Oryctolagus cuniculus: one gene and its partners. The protein of the gene in region 5 interacts with the protein of the main gene of each other region in a pairwise test. Links are inferred from orthologs where the notes say so. Each region holds a gene or a part of one and is shown on either strand. Other genes may lie near its edges. The genes, in order: C6H1orf35, RHPN1, PIMREG, CWF19L2, CEP70, TTLL10 and SYTL4.

Region 1 (4,290 bases), on a different chromosome or scaffold from region 5:
AACAGCATGGAGCCTCCCTCAGCTCCTCTGATACCTTGCCCTCTGTGGGCCACCGCCCTGGCCAGGTGTCCCTGCCTGCCTTCACCTGAGCACAGTCTCAGCTCTGGCTGGCCACCTGCAGGGTGAGGACCTGCAGAGGGTTAGGGGTGTGGTCTGGATCTTAACCCCATCCTCACAGGAAAGGTTTCCTGTGTGCACAAGCACACACACGGGAGCACAGGCTGGGCTGTCTGTCCACACCTACAAGTGCCAGCACCTTCATGTCCCCAGAAGCAGTCCTGCCCAACAGCACCTCCACAGGTGAGCAGGCAGGCAGGTGGGCCCTGGGGGCCTTTGGCTCCCTGCAGGCCCCCCACTCCCAAGCTGCCCCGACACTGTCGTCCCTCTGGGGGGGTCCTCCCACGGTTCTACCCTGGCCACGTGGGAGCACGAGGGGCTCCCTTAGGGTGTTAGCGGTCACCAGGGCCCTGGACAGGAAGGACAGGTGCTGGGGCCACCTTCCATTCTGTGATGATACACTCTGCTTTTAATATAAACTGAAGTACAAAACTGATGTAAAGAAAAATAGAAGTAGCCACACTCAGCCATAGCTACAGCCTCGGGAGGGCCGGCCTGGGGAGGCTGCAGAGGGAGACAGGACAGAGAAGAGACCTGTCCTGGAATACAGGCTCCCCTGTGCTGGGAGGGCCGGGGGCTGAGGCAGGGCCACAGGGACACCCTGGGCTCGCAGTCTCCCTTCACTGGGACCTGGAGGAAGTTCACAAAACAGGCCCCTGCTCCTGAAGCCCAGCAGGCAAGGCTAGGGTCCCTCTGCCTCGACCTGGACAGGAAGGGCACCCTGAGGGGGGTGCCCCCGGGACCTGCACAGGCCTCCAAGGCAGGGTCTCAGGCATCAGAGTCTCTGGCGTGCCGCTGGCGGGAAGGGCTCCTCCCACTGTCCCTGCTGTCACACCGCCTCTTCTTGCAGCAGGGGGAGTTGCAGTCACGCTGGCGGGGTTCAGGCCTGGGCAGACAGGGATGGTCACTCAGAAAGGACCCAGCGTGCGGCAGCTGCCCATCTAGCCCAGCTCCAGTCCCCCTCCCCCTGGGCTGCCCTACCGAGCAGGGGATGGGGACGAGGAAGAGGAAGTGGCCCCTCTCCTGTGCTCCTTGTCTTTCTTCTTTTGTTTCTTGTGTTTCTTCTTTTTCTTTCTCTTCTTCTCTTTCTTGCTTTTCCTGTGGCTCTCAGAGCTGCAAGGGGGGTGCAGAAAGGGCCTCAGCCCCAGCCCTCGGGAGACAGGAGACAGCAAGCACAGGCGGCCAGTTCTGTCCCGGCCAGGGGAGGAAGATGGACACGCTTGTGCTGTCCAGGGCGGCAGCCACCAACGTAGCGGCCTCTTCATGCTTGGTCCTGGTCAGCCCCTCAGCCAAACAGACCACATCTCAAAGTGCTGGGCGGTCACGTGTGGCCAGCAGCCGCACCCTCACTGTGGCAGAAAAACTCCCCAGCAGATCCAGCAGTGACTCAGCTCTGCCTCCCCCCAAGCTAGCCAGGGCCAGGCGCCATTGCCTGCGCCTCACCCCAGCTCAGCAGCTGTCCTGACCCCAACCCCTCTCGGCAGGCACATTCAGCCTGGAGATGGAGACCGGCCCTGCTCGCCCGCCGAGGGCAGCCCAAAGAGGGGCTCAAGGCCAACCAATCCTGGCCCTTTCGTGGGTGCCGTCTCTGAGCACACGTCTGTGGGAAGAAATCCCGAGCTGCACCCCCGCCCCTACTACACACACACACCCCTGGAACTCCGGCTCACGAATGCCCCTTACTCAGGCTCCGCCTTGTCCTCGGCGCGCGGTTTCCTCCTGGCTGAGGCCGGCGAGGTCCCCCGCCCGCCATTCTCCACGCGGTGGTGCTGCGGGGGAAGCGGCGCTTTGGCGAGGGCGCGCAGGTTGACCCCACGCCTCGGGGAGACCCGCCCTGGGCGTCCCCCATCCCCCCCCCCCGCCGCCCCGAGGACCCCAGCGCGTTCGGGCTGGGGCAAAGAGGTTACCGTGAACACCGACAGCCCCAGCTTGGCAGCCTCTTTGTCCTCCCGGGACAGCGCCACTCGGCCCGCGGAGCCACTGCGGGGACACGGAGGTGAGGACGCCCCTGGATCACCGCCCGGACCCTGCTCCCCGCTGGGCACCCGGCTCCTCCTCCCCGGGACTGCCGCACCTGGCGCTGCCCAGCCCCAGCAGCCGATCCACGCCCTTCTCCTCCGGGTCGCCGGCTTCCCGCTTGCAGATCTCCACGAAGTCCTGCGGGGTGCGCACAGGGCCGGGAGAGAGGGCCCGGCGCCGCCCGGCCCCCGCCCCCGCGACCCCCGTTTCGGCCCCCAGCTCAGCCCCCGCCTGCGGTTACCTCTTTGCTCAGGCCGGTGGGCTGCTTCTTCACGTTCTTGTAGCCTCTGCGAGAGGGCCGGGGCACCGTCAGGGCGCCGTCGACCGCCCGCGCCCTCCGCCCGCGCCCTCCGCCGCCCCCGGGGACACTCACAGCGCGGCCAGCAGCGCCTCGCGCTCCGCCTCCCGCACGGCCGCCAGCTCCTCCTCGCGGCTGGGTCCTGCGCGCGGCTCCCGGCCCTTGGCGTACCAGGTGAGGTCGCGGCCCTTCTGCCAGCGGCCCACCGGCGCCATCAGCGAGTTGCCCAGGTAGTTCTCCCGCTGCTTGTCGGTCTTCACGTCCTCCCAGTTGAACTGGTCCTGCCCGCCGCGCACCCCGCCGCGGCTGGACCCGAACATGGCTACAGTGCCGCCGCACGGGCCCCGATGACTGTCGCCGGCTTCTGGCCTGTCGCCGCGCCTAGCCGCGCCGCGACGTCACGCCTGCGCCGGGCCCCGGGGCGTCGCACCTGCCAGCGCGTCACGCCCCGGCCCGGCCCCGCGCGCCTGCGCACCACCACCCACCTCGCAGCGAGCACCGACGCAGGCACCGCCCGACTGGGCCCCCGCGCCTGCGCAGTGCCCCGTCGCCGAGCGGGCGCTGGAGGGGCTGTGGAGCCCGGGTGGGCGCGGGGCCGCTGCCTGAAGTCCCCGCCGATCGCTGCGATACAGACCCAGGAGGACCAGGTTCCGGGTGCGGCTCCGGCGAGGGCCCCTGCCCCCCAGGCCGCGCTCTCCCCGCAGCCGCTGGGCGTCGCGGGAGGGGACAGCGGTTACCGGAGCGAGTTTGGTGGGTTCTTTTCCTCAGCTTAGTATGGAAATAAGCTGGAACAGCTTGCAAAGAAGTGGGAAGTTTGCTTCCCGTTTTGCAAGGCTTTCGGGAAGTGCACACGGTTTTAAGGCTTTGCTGTCTTCGTTGGGTCTTTCTGTGGGGGTGCCCATTGGACCGGGTTCCACATACTGCATGCCAATAGCAGGGGTCTCTCGGAGACAGCCTGATTCCCCGTAGGGGGCTCAGCTAAGTTGAAGCGGAGGCCGGCCTCGCAGCCATTCTGCACGAGGCGTTCCAGCAGCGTCTGGGGGCCCGCAGACCCCTAGCCCCCAGACAGGGTCAGGTGGCAGGCCAGCGGGCTGTGAGCAGCCCGGCGACTGCTCGGCCTGGCGCCGCGCTCCCGCCAGCTCGCTGCTGGCCGCGGCGCGGGGCACCCGCTTGCGGCTGCCGCCCCGCCCCGGCTGCTGCGGGTGTTTGGGGGAGTGAACCAGCAGATGGAGGGCTCCTGCTTTCTCTCTCTGTCGCCCTCCGCTCCGCCCCGTTCTATCACATAAAAAATTAAGAGATTTATTTATTTATTTATTTGAGAGGCAGCGTTACAGACAGAGGGAGACACAAAGAGGTCTTCCATCCACTGGTTCACTCCCCAAATGTCCACAACGGCTGGAGCTGCGCGGATCAGGAGCCAGGAGTTTCTTCAGGGTCTCCCACGTGGGTGCAAGGGCCCGAGCACTTGAGCCATCTTCCACTGCTCTCGTAGGCCGCAGCAGAGTTGGACTGAAGAGGAGCAGCTGGGACTCGAACCGATAGCCATATGGAATGTTGCTGTCACAGGCAGAGGCTTAACCTGTGCTTAACCACAGTGCTGGCCCCATAAACTCGTTTAAGTGTGTGCCTTAAACTGCTGTAACATTACTAACAAGAAAGTCCAGAGCAACCAAGAAGCTGCTCAGAGCTGGCCCTGGGTCGCTGTCGTCACTCTGAGCCTGTGACTCAGTGTCAGGGAAGACAAGTCAGTGCACTTCTGGAATTCTCAAGTAATTGGGTTGCTGCCCCCTACAAGGGAGCCCTGTGTGGAGTGCATGGCTCCCTGCGGGCATGTGGGGAGTGAACACACACACTCT
Region 2 (4,442 bases), on a different chromosome or scaffold from region 5:
GGCCCTCCCACAGGTGGCTGTGGCTCTGCAGCCCAGGCACCTGGCCAGGTCTGGCTCTAGGGCAGTGCCCTCAGGGCCTGCAGGCGGCAGGTGCACAGCCCTGAGCTGGCCGTGAGCCCGGGCCAGCCCTGAAGGCACTCGGGCCCCTCCTGCGCTTCCTCCCAGCACTGCTGGGCGCCCGAGGTGGCGGAGCCTCACCTGAGCCAGCCAGGGTCTCCCCAGCCAGGTCACCAGCCAGCCCACGGCTGGCCTTGTACGGGGAGACGTGGGCTCACGGCTGGTTCAGGCCAGTTCAGACCCCCGGGCTCGGCCCCTCCCTGCAGGACCTCCCAGGGGCCCCACGGAAGCTCCTGTGCCGCCACCACCTCGGACCATGGCCCGAGCCGACCTCCAGGGCCAGCTCAAGAGGCGTGTCAGTCAGGGAAGGCTTCCCGGAGGAGGGCGCTGGGCTGGGCTGTGAAGGGCAGGGGCCTCCAGTCACCCTCTGGTCCCAGAGCAGACCTACCCGGGCAGACAGCGTGGACAAGGCCATGCCCAGCGCCCGCCCGCGCAGAAGGGGGCAGCCTGTCCTCGGGCGGGGCCGCCCCGGGGAGAGGGGCCGTCACAGCCAAGGCTATTGGCCCCAGCCCAGCGGTCCTGCTGCAGTTCCTGTGGGTTCCAGGGGCTCGGGCCACCAGCCCCGCCGAGACGGGCGCTGGGCATGGCCCCGGCCACAGGGCTGCCCTCCTGGGCGCGGCGGCCACTGTCCCTCCCCTCCCTGCAGGCACCAACCGGCCTGAGTGGCCCCTGCAGGAGCGGGGGCCCCTGACACCACAGTGCCCGTCCCTGCCCTGCACTGGGAGAGGACAGATGGACCATGGTCCCCGGGTGTCCCCACAGGGGTGTGTGTGTGTGGACAACACGGACACAAACACGCCACACCCCTGCTGCTCGGCCCAGGCCCAGCCCCAGCGCAGGGACCGCCGGGCAGCCGGCAGGAAAGTGTGGGCGGAGGTCAGGCAGCACCAGCCCCAGCCCCCACCCCAGCCCGGTCGGCTCTGGCCAGAGCCCTGCCCCCGCAGGCCCCGGCCCTGAGGCCCGCCCAAGGCAGAGGGAGCCTGGGGCGGTGGAAACCCTCTCTCTGCCACCACGCGGGAGGGGACAGGGCATGGGTGTGGCCACGGGGGTCCCGGGGGTGCAGTGGCTGTGGGATCCCCCACAGGGCGGGTGTCTCGGGTTCCTGAGTTCCTCCAGGCAGGTCCCACTCTCGCAGCCTGGCCTAGCTGGGCCACGTCTGGAGTTTCTCAGTTTAAACATTTATTTATTTATTTGAAAGTGTGGAGAGAGAGAGAGAGAGGTCCTCCGTCCACCGGCTTACTCCCTAAATGCCCCCACAGCAGGGGCTGGGCCAGGCTGGAGCGAGGTGCCTGGGAGTCCACAGCCGGGTCTCCCACGTGGGTGCAGGAGCCAGGCACTGGGCCGTCTGCTGCTGCCCAGGGGCATCAGCAGGGGCGAGGCCAGGAGCAGAGCCGCGTAACCCGCTGTGCCCCAGTGCCTGTCCCCGACCCAAGAATCTGTGTGCCCAGGGAGCGCTGGCGTGCAGTCAGGCGGAGGAACCTTGGACTGACCTGCTGGTGACTGCAGACCCCCCGGGGGCCACAGCCCATCGCCCCGGTCTGCGGGGACTGCCTGGGCTGAGCCACCTCACCCAGGGCCCCCGGCCGGCCTGCCCGCCCGGTCATCCCAGGGTGTGGTCAGGACGCAGCGGCCAGCGAAGCCACTGCAGACGGCTCCTGCCCCGTGTCCAGGCTGGCAACCAGCACGGGGCACGGCCAGCGCTCCCCCTGCCGGCCACCCGCAGCCGTGGCGGCCGCCGAGCGGAGACGCACCTGTGGCGCACAGGGACTGGGCCCTCGGGGGCTCTGGTCAGCACCGCCTGGCCACTTGCGTGCCTGCAGCCCAAGCCCCGGCTGACGCCCTCCCAGAAGACCGGAGCCCCAGACAAGGAAGCTGACCGGAGCCAGCCCAGGGGCCCGGCACAGCCCGACGTCCTGGGACTGCGCGCGACCGAGAGCCCCCGGGCCGGGGCGGCGTCTCCCGGGGCCGCGCGGCAAGCAAGCAGCGGACGCTGTCCCAGGCGGCCTCAACAGGTCTCCGCCCCAGCACACACACCGGCGTCCGGGCTACGGGCTTGGGAGGGTCGGCGAGGAGGCGCGGGGACCAACAGCCCAGCTGCGGTGACCCCACGGGACACCCAGCTCCGGGGGGGGGGGGGGCAGGGCGCGGCTCAACGCCCGGGGAGCGGGTCGGGCCGGGTCACAGGCCTGAGCCCACACCTGCCCGAGGGCTGTGGCTCCCAACAGGGAGGCCGCCGGGCCTCAGCTTCCCGCAGCGCCAAGGCCAGGACCGAGAGACCTACCCGGGGGGGAAAGGGTGGGTCCGGGACCCCCACCCAGTCCCCAAGCCCACCTGGCCGCCGCTGCCGGCCGCCTGCAGCCGGCCGATGTCTTCGCCGGCGCCAGGGCCTTCCGGCTTCTCCTCCAGGATCATCGCCGCTCCCGGGAGCCGGTCCCGCTTTCGGAGACCCGCACCCGGCCGCAGCCACACGCGCCGCGGACAGAGCTCTCCCCGGGAGCGGGCGGCTCCGGCGTGCGAAACTTGCCTTTGCCCAATCGGTGGCGGCCGCCGCTTGACGGACGGCAATACCGACCAACCAGAGAACAAAAGAGGCGGGCTCCCGGAGGCCAGCCCCCATCCCGCTCGGCCCGCGGAGTCCCGGGGAACTCGGTTACCCTGGCAACCGCGGACAATGCGCAGGCGCCGCGGGACAGGGAAACCCCGCGTCGCGGTGGGCGCGGAGGTCGGGTCCCGGCCGCTGGCGCCTGTGCGGGACGTCTCGCCGTTGCCCCGGCAACGGGACCCTCTAGGGGACGGTGAGCGGTGGGGACTTAAAACGGTTTTGTCGGCGGACAATGCCTGCTTTCTTTAGGGCGCGCCGCGCGCAGTGAGGCTTCCAGAACCTTCCATAGCCGCCCCTGCGCGCCCGGGCCTCTGATCGCTGGGGCCTGCGGGTCCCGCTCGGGTCCTGCGGGGGCGCTCGGGGGCGCGGTGCGGGCGGCCAGACCCGGCCGAGCGGGCAGGCCCCGACCATGGCCCGCCCGCGTCCGAGCCCCGCGGGCTCGCAGGCCTCCCGCACGGCTCTCTCCTCACGCCCCCTGGCCAGGGCGCATCCTTCCCCGGTGGCCTTGGGGGCCCCTTGCACCCTCCGCCTGACTCGCACCGGCCGCGAGGGACCCTCGGCCAGCGCCCCATGCCGCCTGTGGTCCAGGCGCCGCCGCCTTTGTGCGGGGCTTCCACGCGGGTCGTCTCGGCCCTCTGTGCCCGCGCGGAGACCCCAGCGCTCTCAGCAGCCCTCAGGGTCGCCCGTGTGCCCAGGAGGCCTGGGCAGTGCCTGGGAGATGTGACGGGGGTGACCAGGTTGGGCCGGGGGGCGCGCTGGCAGCTGGCCGCTGGCCCCTGGGCCGGCAGGACCCCCGGGTTTCAAGCATCTGCGGATTCCTTTGGATGAGCCCCGCCACCATGGCTGACCCTAGGCTGACCCCTGGACGCGGGGACACGACCGGGCCAGAGTGTGTGGCCCGAGGGGCGCTCCTGGGCGGCTGGGGCAGCCTGTAGGGGGGGACCGTGTGGCCCAGCAGGTGGACAGGGCGACCTGCGGTCTGAGCGCGCTGGGAGGAGACTCCAACGGCGGGTAGGAGGCGCGGGCCGCGCGCCTGAAAAGTGCTGGCCGATCGGGCCGCGCCAGCCCCCTGCCCCTGCACTGACCTGGGCCCTGGGGGCTTCAGGTAGCCAGGTCTGTCCCTCGGCCACCAGGGCTGCTGCCCGGGACGCGCGCATTCCAGATCCCGCTTTGGGTGCAGCTTCCTGCTGGGAGGTGCGTGGGCGGCAGCCGAGCGTGGCCGGCGGTGTTGCACCCACGTGGGAGAGCCGGCTGGTGGCGCCCAGCCCCTGGCTGTTGTGGGCATCTGGGGCGTGAAGGTCAGTTGGGAGATTCTCTGTCGCTCTGCCTTCCACATAATAAATAAATCCGTAAGAGGAAGAAGGCAAGCAACACCCCCGGGGCAGGAGGGGCAGCTGCGGGGTGGGCAGTCCTGTGAACCCCGCTAGGCTGCCGCTGGGGGGCTGGGGCTGCTGCTGGGCCGTGCACGGGACCCCGCGATGCCAGTGCACTCGCCGCTGGCTTCTTAGCAAACCACCACCCACAAGTCCCAGTGAAACTGCTCGGGATCCGGAGCCCTCTCCCAGTAGGGGCTGAGTTAACAGGCACTTAAGTCGCCTAAAAGGGAAGTGGAGAGAGGAGCTGAGCGAGGGCTTCAGTGGGAAGCCTGTGCCTGTGCCTGTGCCTGTGCCTGTGCCGTGGGGCACCACAGGAGGTTTAGCCCCGGGGTTCCGAAGCTTCTGGG
Region 3 (4,096 bases), on a different chromosome or scaffold from region 5:
AGCAGAGGGGCTCTGTGGAAGAGTAGGGGCTCCTCTGGAAGGCAGCATCCCTCCTTGGCCGCCGCAGCAGGTGGGCACGGGGGCCTGTCTGGGCCGAGAGGCGGCGATACCCCCGCTCCCGGGAGCCCAGCGCTGGGTGGGTGGTGCTCGACAGCCGGGTGCTCTTCTGGCTCAGGGTGTGCGGGGGGGAGCCATCACCCGTCTGCGCCCCTCTCCTCCTCCTCCTGGCTTTCACCTGCGTCTCCACCAGCCACTTGGTGCCACTCTGGCAGGACTCCTGGATCCTCTGTGACAGTTACAAGGCAAGGTGAGCATGCGTGAAACCCAGGTGCGTCACCTGCCACTCCCGGCCTTCCCTCCAAGCCTTGGCCTCCCACTTGTCCCGTACTTGCAGGCTGCTTTCAGTCTCGAGCCTGAGGGATGGGAAATGGAGCTCCCCCACCCAAGACACACCCCCAGGGGTCGATCACGGGAGGATTGCCCTGGCTCATAGAACTCCAGTTGTCTAAGCCCACATCCTCTTGAGGAAACCTGTCTCCCTGCCTTTGCTCTCGCTTGTCCACTCCCATCTGTCCTCCATGCTGGCCCAAAGGGCAGCTCTGCCCGGGACGCTTGGCCCCTCGAAACCCTCCTGTGGCTCCTTATTGCTCAGAGGAACAAGCCCGAACTCTCAGGCCTATCACGGCAGTGGGTGATGGCTGTGAAGACCTTGAATGCCGTGGCATGCCAGAGGCGGGAGGGCTGGTGCATGCCCCAAGCTAAATTCCATGTCATGTGGCCTTGGATAAGATACCTCCCTCTACCTCTCCTGTGCCCGGGGCAGTGGGAACAATTTCAGGGTTCTTACTAATGGGCTGGGCCCAGAGAGCTGTCTGTGGAGGGCTTGAAGGAGCAGCCCTCTCCCCACACCTTCAGAGCGCCCAGTGGGGCATCCAGCCCTCTCCTCCTACGGCTGGCTGCTACCATGGCTCTGTCCTTTCTTCTGTTGTAATTGGAGAGGCAAAAAGAGACAGATGGAGCCCTACCTGCTGGTTCACTCCCGAGATGCCCTTAATGGCCAGGGGCCAAAGTCAGGAGCCAGGAATTCCATCCCAGTCTCCCATGTGGGCGGCAGGGACTCAACCATCTGAGGTCTCACCGGCTGCCTCCCTGGGTCTGCCTTAGTGGGATGCTGCAATCGGGAGTCAGGACTTGAACCTGGGCCCTTGGATACGGGATGCAGCCTAATCACGGGGCCAAATGGCTGCCCTGGCTCCTTCCCTCCTCGGGACATCTCGGAATGCTCCCAGCTCCAGGCGGAAGGCCCTTGGGCACCTCACACCAGTGTACGTCATGACGTGGTGCCAGCCCGTCTCATCTGACACCGGGTTCTTGGGGGTCTACCTTCCGAGGAGCTCCTGAAGTTAGCGGCTCTCCCTTGGGCGAGTCCAGCACCCAGGATCCCAGGCTCCCGCGGGTGTGTCTGCCCCACCACCCTTTTCATCAGGCAGCTCAAGAGAAAGTTCCCGACACTAAGCTGAGCAGACTTCCCGTCCGTCTGGAATCCTTCCCTCTTCTGGTTGCTCCTGGGGGTCCACACACATCAGAGCCCCCCCTTCCTCTGGCCACACCCAGACACAATCCTTGCCCACACCCCCGTCCCTGGGTCTCGGTGGGATTCACACCATTCCAGCTGTGCTTGCCTTTTCCCATTGATTCTCCATGGAGCCACCTGCTGGGGGGGTTGGGGGGGGCTTCACTGGCCGTCCCCTCACCATCCCTACTGGCTGACACATGGCTCTCACCCCTTGTATCATGAGCACCTGTTCCCTCCGTTTCTCCGCACCATTCAGCTATTTGTTGAATGCCCACTCTATGCTAGCAATTCTTAGAGGTGCAAAGTCCCTGTCAGGTGGAGTCTAGACTCTCCAGGGGCTCCTGGAGGTGGGCTCTATCCAGCACTGAGGGTCCATGGAGCTGGACAGCACAGCCACTGTTACCTGAGACATGGCCCCCAGGGCGCTCTTGGCTGATCGAGCTGCCGCCTGGAGGCCTTGCTGCTCTGGTTCCGGAGTTCCCAGGCGTTTCCATGAAGGGCCCGCCCCAAGGTTGAGGCTGACCGCTCTCAGGGGCAGCCTTCTTTGGAACTGTCTGCGTAGGGAGCCCAGGGCCCCCGCGGACGCATCCTGCTGGCCGGCTGCGGCCGGCGTGGTGGTTTCCTCCTCCGGCTGCTCCTCCTCCAGCAGCGATCTCCGGCGCACCGACCACCGACAGGCCATCTGCTGGCTGTGCCGCCTCTGTTCACCGCGCCCTGGGGAGGAGGGCCGAGGGCAGGTCAGCGGGCATCGCTGGCCCCCTTCCAGGCTCCGCAGGGCTCCTAGGCCCGGGGAGGGAGACAGGATGGAGGCCTGTGGGGTGGGGCCCTCGTAGCTGTGGGTGCTGGAAAGGGGGGTGTTTCCCGCAAGGGGAAGTCCGCGGACTCCCGCCGCCTGGGCCTGGATTCTCTCCATGGGCTGTCCTTTCGGCCCCGGCGTCCCTGGGCCCGAGGCCTCGAGCCGAAGACAGGCAGGGGCTCTACGGGTCTCAAAACGCGGCCCTGACCCGGCGCGCTCCCACCTACACCGCGGCCGCCCCCCGGACAGCCCGATTTCCCTTGGATGCTCCCCACGTCCGTGTCCGGCCTGGGCAGACCCCTCCCCCATCCCGAACAGCAGCCCCCCCGGGGCCCGACCTGCGATCACCCCAGGCGCCGATCCGATCCGAGTACAGCGGGTCTCTCGCCCACCGCTGCGGATTTCAAACTCCGCGCGGCCCCGCCCCGGGCCTGTCCTCAGAGATGATTGGTTCCGAGATACTGCCTTGGCCACGGCTCCGGGCCTCCGATTGGTCGCCTTCCCCCACGGCTGCAAATCCAGCTCCTGTTCATCGCTCGAGACCCCCGCCTGGCTCGGCCTCCGCCGCCCCGCCTGCCCACGCCTTTGCCGGGTCCGCAGCCCCATCCCGTGTGCTCGGCCCCAGGCAGCGGCGCGCGGTCCATGCCTCACGCCCGAGCCCCCTTCCTAGAGCCTGTAAGGGGCTCAGGCGTTTGCGACCCCTGGGGTCCCGGGCACTGGGAGGGCACTCAGCCTGCAGCATCCCTGGTCTTCCAGGGACCCTGCCCCTCCTGCCAGGGGGTGTGGCCTGTTCTTTCTCGCTCAGCGATTTTGTTCTAAAGAGCTGGGGAATGCGGGTGCAGACCCCTCCCTCCTGAGACAGGCTCCACACTCCCCATCAAACAACCTGGGAGCGGGGACAGACGGGAGCACACCTGCCCCTCTGCCCTGCCTACCTGTCCTCCTGCCCCTGCCCTCCTGCCGCCCCCCACCCCCATTGCCTTCCTGCTCATGCCCCCTGCCCCGGCCTCGCCATCCTAAGTCGGGAGACCCCGACCCCTCCCCTCGCATCCACACAAGCTCAGACTCCCGCCATCTGTAAAGCTCTCCCCATTACCAGCCCGTCCCTAGGAGACCTCAAAGCATCACTGCCCGCCGCTGGCTCCCTGTGGGTGCTGCAGATTGCCCCCCCCCCCGCGCCCCGCCTCCTCCAAGCACTGTCTTCAGGCCTCTGCCTCATTTCCGGTGGTCTCAGCAGCGACCACCGCCCACGGTGAGCACAGTGCCTAACTCGCCTGCAGCACAGAAGCCTCGGGCCCTCACCTGGCCTCCCTGCAGAGGGAGGAGGAAACTGAGGCACAGAGAGGTGGGGGAGGGGCCCATGTTTCACTCCCTGAGCCGAACGCCATCCCTCTGGAGCCGGGTCCCTGTGCCTGACCCTCACGCTGCGCTGTCCCCCCCCCCCCCCCAGCCTGGGCCTCTCACCCAACACTCAGGCCCCACCCTCCTGGTGCCCCAGGCCGGGAAGGCCAGCACGCCCTAGCTGACTCACCTGCTCTCTCCCACGATCCTCCTCCTCCCCACCCCACGTTCTTTCTCCCATGTATTCCCCAGGTCCTACTGAGGTGTGCACAGGCTCGGCCTCCGCCGCCCCGCCTGCCCACGCTCAGGCACCATGCTGAACAAGGGCTGCAGAGGTCAACACAAGGGGCGTGCCCCTTACCCTGATGGCGCTCCATCTGCTG
Region 4 (3,648 bases), on a different chromosome or scaffold from region 5:
TGATGGGAGGGAGCAAGAAATTTGAAGGTATAAATGAATGATGTTTCAGGAGGGGTATCAGTGTGTAAAAACGTATGAAGAAGAAATGATTGGCATTCATGGAGCAGTGAAAGAAAGTAGTGAGAAAGTGATAGTAGAAAAGATTAAATAGTGAATGCCAGTTTCAGGAGCTAATGAATTAGTGAATATATAGTGCATATTTATTATTATTATTTTAAAGATTTATTTATTTGAGAGGCAGAGTTACAGAGAGGCAGAGAGAGAGAGAGAGAGAGAGAGAGAAAGAGAAAGAGAAAGGGTCTTTCATCCCTTCCATCCAGTGGTTCACTCCCCAGATGGCTGCAACGGCCGGAGCTGGGCCGATCTGAAGCCTGGAGCCAGGAGTATCTTCTGGGTTTCCCACATGGGTGTAGGGGCCAAGGACTTGGGCCATCTTCCACTGCTTTCCCAGGCCACAGCAGAGAGCTGGAGTGGAGCAGCCAGGGCTCAAACTGGCGCCCATATGGGATGCTGGCACTGCAGGCGGTGGCATTTTTTGCTAAGCCACAGTGCCGGCCCTGTACATATTTTTATTTTTGTTGTTTATGTACATTTGCATTCATACATTATATGTAATCTTACTATCTTTAGATCATTAAAGCAGTCAGTTTATCAATTTGATTTCTTTTGCTTCATTTTTTACCCTTGTTTTTTTCAATTTTCTTTCACTCCATAAGTTATCTCAAAGGTAAATGTAAAAACTTCACTAAATATGTAACCAATTTTTAAAAAGGAAAAACCCATCTTAGCCAATTGCCTATATTAATTTTTTAAAGTTCTTTTTTTTTTTTGAATCTAATAAACCATTCTGTATTTTTCCTGTGTTCTAAAGGATGCTGCTTCAATAAACTTAGTAGTTTTAGAGAGATCATAACAATGTTTGCCCATATATAATATCCATATTCATAATTAATTTGATGATGATGTGTTGGTTTCATCCAAATGAACCTTGAAAATGTCAGTGAATTTTGGCTAAGATACCCAAGATGCATAGCATAGATTGTTGATTCAGAAAGTAAAACATACCTGAACTTACTGACTCATTGACATATTGTACCTTTTTTTTTTTTTAACTTTTATTTAATGAATATAAATTTCCAAAGTACGATTTATGGATTACAATGGCTTCCCCCACATACCGTCCCTCCCACCTACTACCCTCCCCTTTCCCACTCCCTCTCCCCTTCCATTCACATCAAGATTCATTTTCAATTATCTTAATATACAGAAGATCAGCTTAGTATACATTAAGTAAGGATTTCAACAGTTTGCTCCCACACAGAAACATAAAGTGAAAAATAATAGATGATTTTTTTTAAATGATGATGAAATCAGATCAGACCTATTGTCATGTTTAATCCCAGTGAGAGTCAAGTTGGGAGTTGATAATTTCTTTTTTCTTTTTTTTTTTTTTTTAACAGAGGATCAGTTTAGTATACATTAAGTAAAGATTTCAACAGTTTGCACCCCCATAGAAACACAAAGTGAAATATATTGTTTGAGTACTCGTTATAGCATTAAATCTCAATGCACAGCACATTAAGGACAGAGATCCTACATGAGGATTAAGTGCACAGTGACTCCTGTTGTTGACTTTACCAATTGACACTCCTGTCTATGGCATCAGTAGTCTCCCTATGCTCCAGTCATGAGTTTCCAAGGCTATGGAAGCCCTCTGAGTTCTCCGATTCTTATCTTGTTTAGACAAGGTCATAGTCAAAGTGGAGGTTCTCTCCTCCCTTCAGAGAAAGGTACCTCCTTCTTTGAAGACCTGTTCTTTCCCCTGGGATCTCACTCACAGAGATCTTTTGCCAGAGTGTCTTGGCTTTCCATGCCTGAAATACTCTCATGGGCTTTTCAGCCAGATCCGATTGCCTTTAGGGCTGATTCTAAGGCCAGAGTGCTATTTAGGACATCTGCCATTCTATGAGTCTGCTGAGTATCTCACTTCCCATGTTGGATCACTCTCCCCTTTATTTATTCCATCAGTTAGTGTTAGCAGGTACTAGACTTGTTTATCTGCTCCCTTTGACTCTTAGTCCTTTCATTATGATCAATTGTGAACTGAAATTGATCACTTGGAATAGTGAGATGGCATTGGTACATGCCACCTTGATGGGATTGAATTGGAATCCCCTGGTATGTTTTTAACTCTACCATTTGGGGCAAGTCAGCTTGAGCATGTCCCAAATTATACATCTCTTTTCAAGACTTTCATAATTTCCATATATATCACATATGTATTACTACCATATAGATCTCTCACATTTATATATATATTTTATATTTCTTTATTCTGTTCCATATAAGAATAAATTAAACCTCTAATAACACTTAAATTTTTCCTGTTGTGCACTGGGAAATGTTTGAGACTGTAGTCCAGTGGTGTTTCCCTGGGAACCAGCTTCCATATGGGATGCTGGCGTTACACGCTGGAGCTTTAAGTCCTGCGCCACAGTTCTGGTCCCTCCAGTATAAATTTAAGTAGCCACTCTTTCTTTGTTCACAGCAGAGTTTTAAAACTGCCCACTATTTTATAAAATAATTATCTGCCATATAAAATATTTCCAACTACAATTTAACAAAAATAATAGAAAAAACATCCTTTTGCAGGAAGTTATTTATGCTCCTTAGGAGATCTTTTGTCCATTCTCCTTTTTTAAAAGACAGTTTGTATTTAGTGGGAAAAGTAGCACCAGTTTTAAGTAATACATGTATGGAAATAAAAAGAGCTTAACTCGAGCAGTGAAGTCACCGTGAGATCATTTCCTCTCTCTTGGCTAGGTTTTCTTTTCTCAGCTTGTGAGAGGTAAAAGGTCTGATTAATAGTCCATCGATTAGAGCACTCTGCCATTACCAGGCCATGCCATGTATCTTTGTAGTCTTGTGAAACTGTGTTAAGGGCTTTCAAAGTATATACTTTCTTTAGATCAAGGATGTAGTATCATTTATTTTTCCTTCCTTGGATAATCTTTATATGTAGCAGTGAAAATTGCACTTATATTCTGAATTTCCAGTTTATTAAAAACCATTTTTATGGCTTTTAAAATAGTTATAAAAATTAAATCTTTTTTTAAAATAGTTATGATAAACGTTTTCTTCTAAGCAAGTGTACTGTGTTAATTATTAGCTACAAGTGTGAGTAAATTACAGTAGCATTTCAACTTTAAAATTTTTTCCCGATAGGTTTATTTGTGTTTACCCAACTTCCAGTCTCTTACTGAGGGGCACTGCCTGATAGTCCCTTTGCAGCACCATAGAGCAGCCACATTACTAGATGAGGACATCTGGGAGGAAATTCAGGTAAGCATGAAAATGTCATTGTCATTTTAAAGCCCATGAGCAGTTTTTATAAACTAGTGTGGTAGAGTCCAGCAGGGTCTGTATTTTCATTCAATAATTTTACCTTCTGATTTAAACATTTTTGTAGTTGTCTGTATCTGCAGATCATGTTTCCAGCGTTCACTATCTCTTAGTTTTATTTCCCATAAGTACTCTGCATTTTGAAAACTTTTGTTTCTAAACTGGAACACAATATGAATTATTTTTACATCAAAATGTTAGCCTAAGATTTCTGACCATGGGTTTGTGTAGCATGAAATACTAATT
Region 5 (4,231 bases):
GAGGATTAGGAATTAATAAACAGAGCACTGCCTGGCACGAGGCAGGACAGGGGTTAGGAGAGTCCAGGACAGCTAATCATCTAAGCAGTTACTTGGCCTGAGTTTAAAATATGTACCTGATAGGATTATCAGGAGTCAAAAGGAAGTATACCCAATGTGTTTAGTATAGTATTTAGTACACATCAGGTCCATGTTTCCCACGGCCTCCTAACATCTAGAATCACCGGTTGCGGCAGACATACCTCAGCCATAGCTCTTTCCTCCTGCACGTCACACCTGCTCATCCAAGATGATCTTAATGAAACGATCGGCCAGTGAGTCTCATGTGCGAAACTAGATCTTCATCTAGGGTTCAAAAAGATTAACGGATCAACCTCTTGGAAAGTTCAACCTCTTAGTGAGAAAGGTCTTGTGTTACTCCCAGCGCAGCGTCCATGGTGCCGGAAAGCCCTAAGCTGAAACTCCAACAGCCACAGTAAGCGCTGATGGCCTTCCTGGCTCACCATCATAAGCCTCCTCCCTCCTCTTCTCCCTTGTGGGTGATCCTGTGCCTGGCTGGAAGACTGCCTGCCTACCCCAAGCAGGAGGTTAGGAGGGCATGGCACACCATGCCTCCCGGGCACATTTCCCTGACCCCTGCTCCCAGGTGAAGGACCTTGTAAAGGGTCAAATAGGTAAACAACTCCTGGGTGTGCCCCAGACCCATAAGGACCACCTGGTAGGCTACTAGGCTATGTGACCTTCAAGCTGATTGGAGAAGCATAGTGGCGCCAATATCAGATCTATCCTATAGTGTTGCCCTGAATTAGCTACGCCCCCTCTGCCTGCCCTTTAAAAGCTTATGCTTCATCGTTAATAGACATGTTCACAGAAACTGGTCTTGAGTGCGTCTTGTCAAGAGCACCGTCACCAGTGCGGGCCTTGCAGGATCAGCCTACACCAGTCTGTGAAATAAACGTGGTGATAGTTTGCAGCAGCCTTTTCCCCACTGCAGGCTGTTAGAGGAGAAAAGTCCAGAACGCTGAAAGTCACAGAAGAGACTAAACTCTCCCTGGGGCAGAAGCGAGGCTGTAGCTCTACTCAGTGTCACAACACAACTAAAGGCAGGCTGTAGGAGTAAGGTTTGGGGGCTGAGAGTTGGTTTGCACTTGGCATACAGACAAGCAGGGGACAGGCATTTGGCTCAGCAGTTACCATACCTGCATCCCACAGCAGAGTGCCCAGGTTCACGTGCTGGCTTTCCTACCTATGCCAGCTTCTTGCTAGCACACACACACTGGGAGGCAGCAGGTTCTAGCTCAAGTATCAGGTCCCTGGTACGCAAGCAGAACACCTGAACTGAGTACCTGACTCCCAGCCCCAAGTGTTGCGAATATTTGGGAGTGAACCGGCTGATGAAAACTGTTTCTCTGCCTTTCAAATAAATAAAGTGAAAATAAATTAAAAAAAAACCATTAAAAAAATAGCCAAACACAGAAAAGCAAAAACACAGTTGTATCTTCCAGCACTGTCCAGGTTTCCCAACAATCTTTTGGGTCAAATGGTCCCTTATAATATAGCCTAACATGCATCAAACCTTAAAAAACTTATTTTTCTCGCCATTTGGGGGGCGGGGGGAAGAGAGCTGGAAATAACAGATCATGGCCAGTAATTTCTTTCTCAAGTGAGTCATACCGAAAATCTATAAACTTTCTCCGAAGGACGTATTCCAAATCACTCCAACAAATGAACACGCACGGCTTTCCAAGTCTGTGTTCTCCATGAAATGCAAACTAGTCCGAAGATAGGCCAACGTTCCAAAGGACGAACTGAATCCACCACCATTGGGCCCGGACGTCACCTCAACCAAACCATCCTGTGCCGGCGAGGTTACAAGGAGGGCCAGAACACCCTCCTCCCCCGCTCTGAAGCAACCCCGTCAGTGAAACTCCAAATCAGCCGCCTCGTACCCAAAAAGCGGAGCGGAGGCGGCCTGCTCTGCTTGGCAATACTCAAAGTAAAAACAAAAACAAATGCACGCAGAGGGCTGAGACCAACACGGGCAGTGGCTGCACGGCGTCAAACATTATGATGAGAAACCCTTGCTGACTGGTCTGTTACAAGCGTTACTGTTACAAGTGCCTCAGCTCGGGGGATTTTTCACCCTTTAAGAATCACATGAGGCTCCACGTGAAGTCAGAATCCCCTGCGCACCCCGGATCCAGAATGCGCCCGACAACCGGAGAAGGCGGGCTACGCGCCTCCGTGTGTCCCCGGCACCCTCCGCCGACACCTGCCCCACTCCGGGACGCCGAGGGCCGCGGCGGTCAGCGCCCGTCCGCCCTTCGCCGACTCGGCCAGGGTCTAGTCTGATCTAGCCGGGTCCGAGTCTGAGCTCCGCACTGCCTGCCTCGTCTAGCCCCCACAGCCGCCCTGGAAGGCAGCAGACTGCACACAGGAGCAAACGGAGACGCCGAAGACCACAAAGGCTGGGGGGCCGGGGCTCGAAGCAGGTTTAACCAATCCCCAAACCCTCACACAGCCTGCTGGAGCCGGTCCCAGCCCGCTCCACCCGGGGCGCCCGGCAACGCTCGGCGCCCACAGGCCGAGTCCCGAGCGCCACTCACCTTCCTCGGCCGCCCGGCCCGGCCCGGCCCGGCCCTGCCTGGCTCCGCTCCACCGCCTCCGGCCCCGCCTCCGCGACCGTTACCGACGCCAGTGGAGGTTGGCCAATCGAGCCCGAGCGGGTCGAGGTCAAACCTCTGCTCTGCCTCGGAACTTTCTGAGCGATTATCTCCGGCCTCTCGAGGAGGCTGGGTCCGCCGCGCGCCCCCTGGTTGGCTCCGGCTGCTGGGGGCGGGGCTTACCACCACCGCGGGCTGTCATAGGCCCGCTGACGTTTCAGTCGCGCTCTACGGCCTCTCGCTGGCTGGGGCTCTCGCTTACGGAGGGCCTCGGTTCCCCAGGAGATTTCAGATATGCAAATATGTGGCCGCAGGTGAAAATGAGGCTCGGAGCACCTGGCCACTGCGCAGGACCCTCGCCAGGACCGCGAGCTCCTGCTGGGGGAGCAGCCGGCGTGTCGAAGCTCCGGACCTGGGGGAGCCTCGGAGCGGCTGGCGTTTCACCCTCCCTTTGGGCGTTTTCCCGGTGGCCACGAAGTGTCTGGCCCTACATCGGGCTCCGTAAAATGCAGAGATGTGGACGCTGAGGGACAACGGTGGTTTTCCAGGGCCCTGTAGAGACTGGGTCTTGGGCTGCGTAGCATCTGGCAATCAGGGCTCACACTTGGTTTTCCAGTCAGTGTGGCCGTGGGATCCCAGGTGTCTCGTGGCTTTGTGGCGGGATTTTTGTGTGATTTCGCCCCCCCCTCTTTTTTTAATGGAAGCTATTCCTGCGCTGCAGTAAACTTTCTGAAGCCTCAGGCTTGTGTTTGAACCATCAGAAAGGTCTCCAGCTAGAAACACTAGTTCCGGCTTGCCCCTTCTCCCTGTCATTCTCCTTGGAATCCCAGGGCCAAAATTTGGAGATGTCTTGAGTTCTTCTGTTCATGGTGTTTATTCACGGTGACCAATCGACTTCCTTGCCAGACTTTTTTTTTTTTTTTTTTTTTTTTTTTACAGGCAGAGTGGACAGTGAGACAGAGAGAAAGGTCTTCCTTTGCCGTTGGTTCACCCTCCAATGGCCGCCGTGGCCGGCGCACCGCGCTGATCCAATGGCAGGAGCCAGGTACTTATCCTGGTCTCCCATGGGGTGCAGGGCCCAAGCACTTGGGCCATCCTCCACTGCACTCCCTGGCCACAGCAGAGAGCTGGCCTGGAAGAGGGGCAACCGGGACAGAATCCGGCGCCCCGACCTGGACTAGAACCCGCTGTGCTGGCGCTGCAAGGCGGAGGATTAGCCTAGTGAGCCGTGGCGTCGGCCCCCTTGCCAGACTTTTAAAAAAGAAAATCACCTGGGGAGCTTGGGAAACTCCGGATGCAGGGGCCGCCAGACAATCACACCAGGATCTCCAGGTGGGGACCCAGGCATCCAGAGTTTGTAAAGCTCCCCAGGTGATTCCGATGTGCAAGTGTTGTACCGATTCCCACCAGTGAAGACCACCAGGAGCCGACACTCATGCAAACGCAAGAGTTTAATTTCAAACTCAAGTTTGGTTGGACATCTGCACCAGGCGCAGCTGGGCTGGATCGGCGGCCCCTACGGTAAGGTCGTTAGGGTTTTTAGACAGTTGAACATACAAGTTCGGCTA
Region 6 (4,098 bases), on a different chromosome or scaffold from region 5:
GTGGACCCCGGCCAGCAGGTGAGACTCCACGTGGGGAGGAGTGGGGGGTACCCTCGGGGCGAGGATGGGTTCCAGGGGAGGTTCATTTCCTGGGGCTGCCAGGAAAAGCTGCTACAGAGAAATCACACACGGGGCCAGTGTTCTGGCGCAGGCGCTTATAAGACCCCACCTGCGACGCTGCCATCCCATGTGGGTGCCGGTTCGAGTCCCAGCTGCTCCACTTCCTGTCCAGCTCCCTGCTAACATGCCTGGGAAAGCAGCTGAGGATGGCCCAAGTGCTTGGCCCCACACTGTGTGGGAGACCCAGAAGGAGCTCCAGGCTCTGTTTCCACTTGGCCAAGCCCCGGCAGGCACAGCCATCTGAGTTGTGAACCAGCCAATGGAAGTGCTCTCTCTCTCATTTATTTGAAAGAGAATCTCTTGGCCGGCGCCGTGGCTCACTAGGCTAATCCTCCGCCTGCGGCGCTAGCACACCGGGTTCTCGTCCCGGTTGGGGCGCTGGATTCTGTCCCGGTTGCCCCTCTTCCAGGCATGTGGCCCAGGAGTGCAGTGGAGGATGGCCCAGGTCCTTGGGCCTTGCACCCCATGGGAGACCAGGAGAAGCACCTGGCTCCTGGCTTCGGATCGGCGCAGCGCACCTGCTGCAACGTGCCGGCCATGGTGGCCACTTCGGGGGTGAACCAATGGAAAAAGGAAGACCTTTCTCTCTGTCTCTCTCTCTCACTGTCTAACTCTGCCTGTCAGAAAAAATAATAAATAAATAAATAAATAAAAGCACTCTTGGTGTGAGCGTTTGGCCTAGTGGTTAGGACCCGATGGAGCTCCAGGCTCCTGGCTTCAGACATTTGAAGACTGAACCAGTGGACGGAGGACCTCTCGGGGTCACCCTGGAGGGTCATGAGGACAACAGAAGAACCAGGTGAGGGTCAGAGGTCATGACCCCAGCAGTGGGGGTGCACCCAAGGGTTAGAGACCCCTGCCCAGTCCACCTAAAACCCGCAGGGCTCTGCTGGATCACGGTTGCCAGGTAACCATTGCTGGGAGACAGTTGCCAGGTCGCCACTGTTGTGTCCAGCAGAGGGCTCTCACGACCTCGCCAGGCAGGTAAGAGGGACAGGCCGGCCGCCAGTCTGCACCTGCGCTCCTGCGCCCCCCTCGGCCACCAGACCTGGGCCCCTGCCTGAAGCAGAAGGCCGGCGGGGGAGGGGAGTGGACAGGGAGGGGGTGGGGCGGCTGGGCTGGGCACTCTCAGGACCACCTGCCTCCTGTCTCCCTGAAGTCCGCGGGCCCCGTGTCTCTCGCAGTCCCTGGCCAGAAGGCGCCGGCTTCCATGCACGGCAGCTCCTCAGAGCCCGCGGCAGTGTGCGGGCAGAGGCTGATCCGTGCGCGGTCTCTGGTCACTTGTTCCCAGGTCTGGGAATACTTCGCGTGTCCCTTCCCAGGGGGCGGCCTCCTGCCCGCCCGTCTCACCAGGTAAAAACCTAGAGTTTGCCCCGCCGGCTGGGCAGCAGGTCCACGGCGCCCCCCGCAGGGCCAGGCCTCGCCCCCGCGAACCACACCGGGTGGTTTCAGGCTGGCGTGGCCTCCGGGGCAGCGGCGCCTGGGGCTCCTGACCCTTGGGCCCCTGCGTCCTCCGCCTGGTGGCGCTGCTCACAGTGCGTACAGGAAGTAGCCATGCAGTCCACTCAGGAACCTGGCGTGCGAGCGACGGAAGAGCCGAGGCTGCCTGGGGCTCCTCCGGCCGCGGCCAGCGCGAACCTAGGCCTCCAGAGCCCTCACCCCTGGACCCTCCTCCTCCCGCCTGCCTATTGCAGGCGCCTGCCGAAGCCCCAGATCTGCACCTGCAGGCGGGGCTCAGCCCCAGCACGGAGGCCCTCCCGAGGCCCCGCTCCCGCTCCGCCCCTCCCGCGACGTCGCCTCTCGAAGCCCCGCCCACCCCTCCCGCGGCCTCCCCCCACCTCGGCTGCCCCCACCAGGTGCACAATTCCAGGGTTCTGACCAGGACCCTCCTGCGGCCTCCCTCCGGCCACACCTCGCGACACCCCCACAGTGCTCGCAGGCCCCTGGGCGGGGCTGGAACTGGGCCCTTCCTGTCCCGGGGGGCCCCTTTGCACAACCTCCTGGACAGGACCCTGCTGGTTACTCCTCACTGTTCCCGTGTTCACAGTGCCCAGCTGGAGCCTGGGGGAGCAGCCCTGCCCGCACCCTCCCAGCTCACCCCTCCATCAGCATCCATGACGCCCACCTCCGCCCATCTTCCTCCACACCTCTCTGTGTGTGTCCCTGCATATCAGGGCAGGTCCACTTGTGTCCGTGCCTGTGTCTCTGTGTGCTTGTGTCTGAGTGTCTGTCCAAGCGTGTCTACGCATACGTGTCTGTACACGTCTGTGAGTGCCCGTGTGTCCACATGTGCCTGTGTCCCTGTGTGCCCCCGCATGTGTCCAGCTGTGTCCGTGTCATTCTGCGGCTCCCACTTGGAACTCCTCCCTAAGAAGCCTGGGCTCTGGGCACTGCTCAGCGGCGTCTTGGGGGTCCCAGCGCCCCAGAAGGACTCTTCGGAGCAGGGTGCTGGGGGGGTCTAACTGATCTGCTGCCCCATCGTCAGGCCCTGCAGGCCAGGTCCAGCGTCCACACCCGGCCCTCCTGTGTGGGGAGCTCCTAGCTTCTGCCCGCGCCCCCACCCTGCCCTGGGTGCCTGCCAGCCTCGGTTCTGGCTGCTCCAGGCCTGGCCCCATCCTCCCAGTGCCTGGAGCCGGGCAGCTCCTTCGCTGCCACTCTGGGGCAGAGGCCACGGGCACCTGCATCACCGCCATTGGGCAGGCATCCGCTGGCTGCCCAGGGATTCACTCGGGAGCAGCACCCAGGCCCCTCCCAGCCGCCCCAGCATCCCCACTGCTTGCTTTCTTTCAGACCTGCAGAAAGTCCTCTCCCCCAGCAGGCCACCCATGGACTCGCAGGCCAGGAAGTGGCCACAGGTTCCCTGACATGCTGCAAAGGTGGCACCTGGGGACCAGATCCAGGGGTCGGGCCGTGGGGCCAGGCAGCCACAGGGACGGCAGTAGCAGGCGGGGTGCCGCTCAGGATGCCCCGGTCCTCCAACCCCTGACCACGGCCTCCTTGCAGCCGACAGCCAGACCGCGCTCCTCAAGGCCAGATGGACGGGCCGGGCAAGGCAGGGCTCGCCCCGCAGAGATCCGACTCGGAGGGCACCGCGGCAGCACGGGCCGCCCGGCCCCACAGCCACCGTGGGGTTGGGAGCCGGCCCCGGGGGGAGGCCCCCACCCAGCCCCCTGGGAGACGCCTTTCCCCTGGCAGGGGGGGCCCCACGTTGCGCCCTGTCCAGAGGCTGGTCCCGCGGGCTGCCCAGAGATCCCGCAGGAGAGTGGGGGTCCCGTCTTCCCAGCGGGGCTCTCGGCCCGGTGCCCCCAAGCCAGCCGGCCGCAGCCACACCCGGTTCATCCACTGCCGGAGACCGTCCACGCGGGCCCAGCTCAGCGCCAAGAGGAAGAGGCGGTCCAGGCTGTGCCGGTGCCGGGCCAGGGCACCAGGTGACCGCTAGGCAGCCTCATGGCCAAGGGCCTCCCAGTCAGTCCCGGGAGGGCCCCCACCCCACCCCATGCCACCCCACAGCCCCAGCCTGACAGCGGCCTTTGGGTCACTCATGACATCATCATGGACATTGTGACCCCGGCCCTCCAGGCAGGCCCCGGCGCTGTGTGTGCCCCCACTCCGCCTCACTCCCCAGCCCTGCCTGCTCCTGTCACTATCACCCTCAGGCTCTGGTCAGTTGCAAGCCGCAATGAGGCAGGGGCTGGGGTGAGAGCCCGGTGCAGCTGGTCGTGGGCTGGGCTTGGCCCGACAGACGGGTGCCCCCCACCCACCAGATCCGCCCCTGCACAGGCTGGGCCCCTGGGAGACGGATGGGCAGCGGCCGAGACAAGGGGCTCCTGCCCACGCAGGGCCAAGACGCAGGTGGGGGCTGCCAGGGCTGGGAGGTCCAGGGGTCCTGGCCGCATAGCGGCCTGCGCGTCTGACCTTCACCTGCCCTCAGACCACCCGGACCACGCTGGCGCCGCCCCGCCCGCGGCCGCTCCCCAG
Region 7 (4,362 bases), on a different chromosome or scaffold from region 5:
GAGTTACAGAGAGGAAGGGAGATCTTCCATCTGCTGGTTCATTCCCTAGATTACTGTGATGGGACTGGCCCAGGCCAAAGCCTGAGAGCCAGGAGCTTCTTCTGGGTCTTCCATGTGAGTGGCAGAGCCCCAAGTACTGGAGTCATCTTGTGCTTTTTCCAGGCGCACTAACAGGGAGCTGGATTGGAAGCGGAGCAGCTGGAACTCCACCCAGCATCCATATGGGATGCCAGCGTGGCAGGCGGCAGTTTTACCTGCTATGCCACAGCACCAGTCCTGGCAGGATACGTTTTTTAAGATAGTAAAGAGCATGTTTAATTGCTGATGACAATTGAGAGAGACTTCAGCAAGTTTAATGGCTGATATGAAGAAGGGAGGGAGGAGGGCAAGGGGGCATCTGCAATTCTTAAACAGATATAAACATTTCAGAATCTATTGATATAGATTGTTCACATGGTTTCTAAAAGATTTTATTATTATTATTATTATTATTATTATTTTATTTGACATATGGAGTTAGTTAGAGAGAGAGAGACAGAGAGAAAGGTCTTCTTTCCATTGGTTCACCCCCGAAATGGCCGCTACGGCTGGAGCTGCGCCGATCTGAAGCCAGGAGCCAGATGCTTCCTCCTGGTCTCCCTTGCGGGTGCAGGGGCCAAAGCACTTGGGCCATCCTCCCCTGCCCTCTTGGGCTACAGCAGAGAGCTGGACTGGAAGAGGAGCGACTGGGACTAGAACCGGTGCCCAGATGGGATGCCGGCGCCATAGGCGGAGGATTAACCAAGTGAGCCTCGGCACCGGCCCCTCTAAAAGATTTTTAAACAACATACACTCCTACCAGCAATTATGAGAGAACTTGTTTGGTGGACACTTTGTCATCCTTAAGTGTTATTGAAAAAAATAAAAACCTCTTTGCTAAAGATTCTCATTATTGTTATAATTTACTCTTTGATTACCAGTGAGTCGATATTTTAACTGGTTGTGTTCTTTGAGTGTGCAGGTGTGAGTTAAGTCTGTGTCCTCTGCTCAAAACACTTCTGTTGTGGGTAAACACTGTTTTCTATAAAAAGTAAAAAGTCAAAGGATCAGAACAGTGTCATATGTTATCTTCCCAAATCACATAGTTTAGACTTCTTCTTGCAAGTACGTGACAGCTTGACAACTTTTGGCTCAGCTGAACAGAAGTAGGTGATTTTTACCATCTAAAGAGAGTGACCACAGATGGAAGTGAACGGCGCTGGGGACACGGGGTGTGTGTTGGCGGGATACATATACTCTTAGATCCCTATCCTCAGTCCCCAAATTCTCTTTTCTAACCTGGGAGGACATCCCTTCAGTGCGTTAAGGTTTTGGCTGCCGCAGCTCGCCTTTGGATTGGGCGACCCCTACTAAGGAGCTCAAGCGCTGTGCGGCCCCTTTAAGAGTCCAGCTCCTCCCCGCTCCAGGGAAAGTTGCAGCTTTTTCCGCCTGCCGGAGAGTGAGAAGGGCCGGCCGCAGAGTGGGCTTGAGATCTTCTCGGAGCCGGAGACCCCTCCCTGACTCTGGTCCTGGGACGTCTAGTCTTCTCGCGGCACCTGTTGCTGGTGACAGGTAGGGCCGCAGCTAGCGGCTGCCCGCCCTCTTGCTCTCGCTCTGGGACTCTTTTTGGTCCCATCCCCTTTTCACTGCTAAAGCGCTCCCACCCCCTTTTCGAGCACCTGCGCCCTTCCCTACCCCTTTTAGCTCTCCAGGTCTTTACTGCTGTCTCGCTGACGGTCAGTCCCCTTTCCTCTGCCTGCCTCTCTGGACCGCACCCCTACGCCTGGACGCCGTCTGCTTGGGGCGGTCCCTCCCTGCCACTTTTCTTTCTCCCGGGCTTCTTCTGGCCCGTTCCATGGCCCACGCGTCGTTAACGCGGACTGTGGCCATCTGGGCACTGTTCCCTCTCTGTCACCCCTCTTGCGGAGTCCCCAGCTTTTCCCGCCAGCCGGAGCCCAGGTTCCTCCAGAGAGCTGGCCCTGGGGGCGGGGGTGGGGCTGGGCTCCTAGCAGGGACGCACCCTCCGCGGCGGCCCGTCACGTTTCCGTCGGTTCCTCTCGCGCTGTCCCTTCACCTCGGACCTGGCGGCGTTGGCTGCCTTGGCCTGCCTGCCACAGTGAGGCCGGTTGGCCCAGAGTGCTGCCTCAGTGGGCTCCCCCTGCACTTGAGGCTGGGCTGCTTTCTTTGTGGCCCTTCAAGCAGGCCATGGGAGTTTACTCCTGCAGCAGGGTCCCCAGAGCGCTCAGAAGAGGCGCAGGATGCTTGTGTCTTCTGTGTTGGTTTGTAAAGGGACAAGAAAAAGTGTTCCTTTAGCCCTCAACATTGGATGGGATGGGGTTTTCGGGTTTGAAATCATTGGGTTAGAATTTTAGTGGCTTGAAAAAGTGGTGTTTTTATGAACCAACCAGTTTCCCCAAACCCTTGCTTTTTCAGGGCCAGAGGACCTTAGCATTCTCGAATAATGCTTTAGGCAGGGCTGACCTCGGAGACCTTGGACATGTGTGGCAGAAATTAGTCTTCAGTACATTTAGGACCTCCTGTTTTTAACTGGATTTTTTCTGCTCTTTCACCTCCCTACTCCCACCTCTCATAAATCCATTAATATCAAGAGGTTAATGACCTAAAATGTTTACCCTACTGTGGAGGGAACAGTGGTTTAATGCAGAGTTGTGGCCCTGATGGTGTTCTGGTTTTCTGTTTGGTTTTTTAATCATCAGCTGGAGATCCTAGTAGAAAAAGCCCATGAACTTGGCTTGGGTGACTTTTGTTTTGTTTTTGAGAGGTGACAGAATTTCAGGTATCTCTCTCTAGGTCAGAGCAGTGAAGTGGAGCTTTGAAGCCCTGTTCTGGGGTGAGTGGTGTGTGAGTGAATGAGACATTCTGCTTGATGCTCTCTGAGCTTTTCCCTTTAATGACTGCTACTAATAGTGGCTATTAAGAGTCTGCTGAGCTAGGCACTGTGATAAGTTCTTTGTGTAATTGTCTCATACAGTCCTCATGATAACTCTGTGCAGCACGCACTACACGTATAACCATGTTAGGATGAAAAGAAGACTCTGAGAGGGTAAGCGCCTTGGCCCAAATCACCCAACTGAGGGGGTCAGAGCTTGTGTTTCTATCCTATCACACCATATCTATTATCTCAGATGTTAGGAACACTAAATAGCTTGTACATGAGCACTAACTTATGAAGAACTTCCCTCCCAAGCTGAGACATAAGTTTGGATCCTTGATTTCACCTTAGATACACTGCATAGAATCTGGACCACTTTCCTCACTGATATCTTACCCACTTCATTTCCAACATGGGGCCAGCTGCCACGTTGCCACTATAAGCACCCCACTCCTGGAATGTACCCGGATGAAAGAAACCTCCTGGGCTGTTAGCTCAGGGCAGTTGTCCTGAAATTAGCAGAGAGTAACCCTGGAATCCAGGGGTATGTGCCAGACTACTTCTTCCCTACTGGCAAAAAGAGAGAATTGAGGACATGGTAAGTGATAAGGATTTCCCAACAGCCAGGCCAGAGAGCCTGAGGGTGATGGTGTGCTTTTTGTTATAGGATGGATGGAATATGTAGGCTGGGAGAGGGGGAGAAAATAAAAATCTCCTCTCTGATCCCACCTCTGGGACTTTGCTCAAATTGTCTCCCCCCCTTTTTTTTTCCTGAAAAGCCAACTTGCCACCCCTACCTGTTAATTCTTAGTCATCTGTCAACATTTAACTCTAAAGTCGCCTCCTTTGGAACAGCCTTACGTGCACTTTACTTTTGTCAAGAGGAATTACTAGTTATCCTGTGTCCTAAAGCACTTCTTGTTACACCTCAGTAAAGCCCTTACCATCACTCTTGCCTGTTTTTCCACCTGGAAGGTTGTAACCTCTCTAAGAGCAAGCTCTGGATCTTGGAGTTCCCTTTGTCTTAAACATAAAAGACTAACAAACATTCATTCTGGAAATGGAGGTAGTCATGCCTTTCAGGGGCTGAGGTCTGGTGATGGTGGAATGGAAGCACAGAATGTGATACAGTTTCCAGATCCGATCAGCAGGACTTCCTGATAAATTGAGTGTGAGGAGTAAAAGGGAGAAAACAAGGGTGACCCTTGTTTTTGGTCTGAGCAACTGAATGGCCGATGACATCATTTTACTGAGACAGGGGAGGTTGAGGAAAAACCTGAGGCATGCGAGAGTAGTCAGAAATCTCGTTTTGACCATGTTATATTTGAGATGTCTATTTGATAGACAAGTAGAAATGTGAAATGTCCCTGAATATATGAAGCTGTGGCTTAGAAGAAAGGCATAGATCAAAGACATAAATTTGGGAGTGATGAGTATCTAGACAGATGAAA

Evidence for each region.
Region 1: the proteins of CEP70 (region 5) and C6H1orf35 interact in binary tests that used the Homo sapiens proteins (3 or more experiments, as listed by UniProt). The two-hybrid records come from large-scale screens. The link is inferred for Oryctolagus cuniculus from reciprocal best matches to the Homo sapiens genes CEP70 and C1orf35.
Region 2: the proteins of CEP70 (region 5) and RHPN1 interact in binary tests that used the Homo sapiens proteins (3 or more experiments, as listed by UniProt). The two-hybrid records come from large-scale screens. The link is inferred for Oryctolagus cuniculus from reciprocal best matches to the Homo sapiens genes CEP70 and RHPN1.
Region 3: the proteins of CEP70 (region 5) and PIMREG interact in binary tests that used the Homo sapiens proteins (3 or more experiments, as listed by UniProt). The two-hybrid records come from large-scale screens. The link is inferred for Oryctolagus cuniculus from reciprocal best matches to the Homo sapiens genes CEP70 and PIMREG.
Region 4: the proteins of CEP70 (region 5) and CWF19L2 interact in binary tests that used the Homo sapiens proteins (3 or more experiments, as listed by UniProt). The link is inferred for Oryctolagus cuniculus from reciprocal best matches to the Homo sapiens genes CEP70 and CWF19L2.
Region 6: the proteins of CEP70 (region 5) and TTLL10 interact in binary tests that used the Homo sapiens proteins (3 or more experiments, as listed by UniProt). The two-hybrid records come from large-scale screens. The link is inferred for Oryctolagus cuniculus from reciprocal best matches to the Homo sapiens genes CEP70 and TTLL10.
Region 7: the proteins of CEP70 (region 5) and SYTL4 interact in binary tests that used the Homo sapiens proteins (3 or more experiments, as listed by UniProt). The two-hybrid records come from large-scale screens. The link is inferred for Oryctolagus cuniculus from reciprocal best matches to the Homo sapiens genes CEP70 and SYTL4.

The regions. Positions count from the first base shown.
Region 1 is NC_091437.1:246,640-250,929, forward strand, and holds the start of C6H1orf35 (multiple myeloma tumor-associated protein 2), read right to left. Parts: upstream 2,856-4,290; 5' UTR 2,755-2,855; coding exon 2,510-2,754; intron 2,424-2,509; coding exon 2,378-2,423; intron 2,275-2,377; coding exon 2,192-2,274; intron 2,098-2,191; coding exon 2,025-2,097; intron 1,887-2,024; coding exon 1,801-1,886; intron 1,231-1,800; coding exon 1,099-1,230; intron 1,004-1,098; coding exon 886-1,003; 3' UTR 1-885.
Region 2 is NC_091437.1:167,368,172-167,372,613, reverse strand, and holds the start of RHPN1 (rhophilin-1), read right to left. Parts: upstream 2,877-4,442; 5' UTR 2,530-2,876; coding exon 2,449-2,529; intron 1-2,448. UniProt on the Homo sapiens protein: Has no enzymatic activity. May serve as a target for Rho, and interact with some cytoskeletal component upon Rho binding or relay a Rho signal to other molecules.
Region 3 is NC_091448.1:50,103,151-50,107,246, forward strand, and holds the start of PIMREG (protein PIMREG), read right to left. Parts: upstream 2,851-4,096; 5' UTR 2,711-2,850; intron 2,291-2,710; 5' UTR 2,259-2,290; coding exon 1,980-2,258; intron 287-1,979; coding exon 1-286. UniProt on the Homo sapiens protein: During mitosis, may play a role in the control of metaphase-to-anaphase transition.
Region 4 is NC_091432.1:99,116,124-99,119,771, reverse strand, and holds part of CWF19L2 (CWF19-like protein 2), read left to right. Parts: intron 1-3,225; coding exon 3,226-3,342; intron 3,343-3,648.
Region 5 is NC_091435.1:143,186,511-143,190,741, reverse strand, and holds the start of CEP70 (centrosomal protein of 70 kDa), read right to left. Parts: upstream 2,838-4,231; 5' UTR 2,607-2,837; exon of another isoform or gene 1,675-2,606; intron 346-1,674; 5' UTR 285-345; coding exon 243-284; intron 1-242.
Region 6 is NC_091438.1:164,277,818-164,281,915, reverse strand, and holds the start of TTLL10 (inactive polyglycylase TTLL10), read left to right. Parts: upstream 1-1,166; 5' UTR 1,167-1,330; coding exon 1,331-1,473; intron 1,474-2,910; exon of another isoform or gene 2,911-2,985; coding exon of another isoform or gene 2,986-2,996; intron 2,997-3,123; coding exon 3,124-3,548; intron 3,549-3,621; exon of another isoform or gene 3,622-3,816; intron 3,817-3,900; coding exon 3,901-3,972; intron 3,973-4,051; coding exon 4,052-4,098. UniProt on the Homo sapiens protein: Inactive polyglycylase.
Region 7 is NC_091453.1:91,980,777-91,985,138, forward strand, and holds the start of SYTL4 (synaptotagmin-like protein 4), read left to right. Parts: upstream 1-1,443; 5' UTR 1,444-1,590; intron 1,591-4,362. UniProt on the Homo sapiens protein: Modulates exocytosis of dense-core granules and secretion of hormones in the pancreas and the pituitary. Interacts with vesicles containing negatively charged phospholipids in a Ca(2+)-independent manner.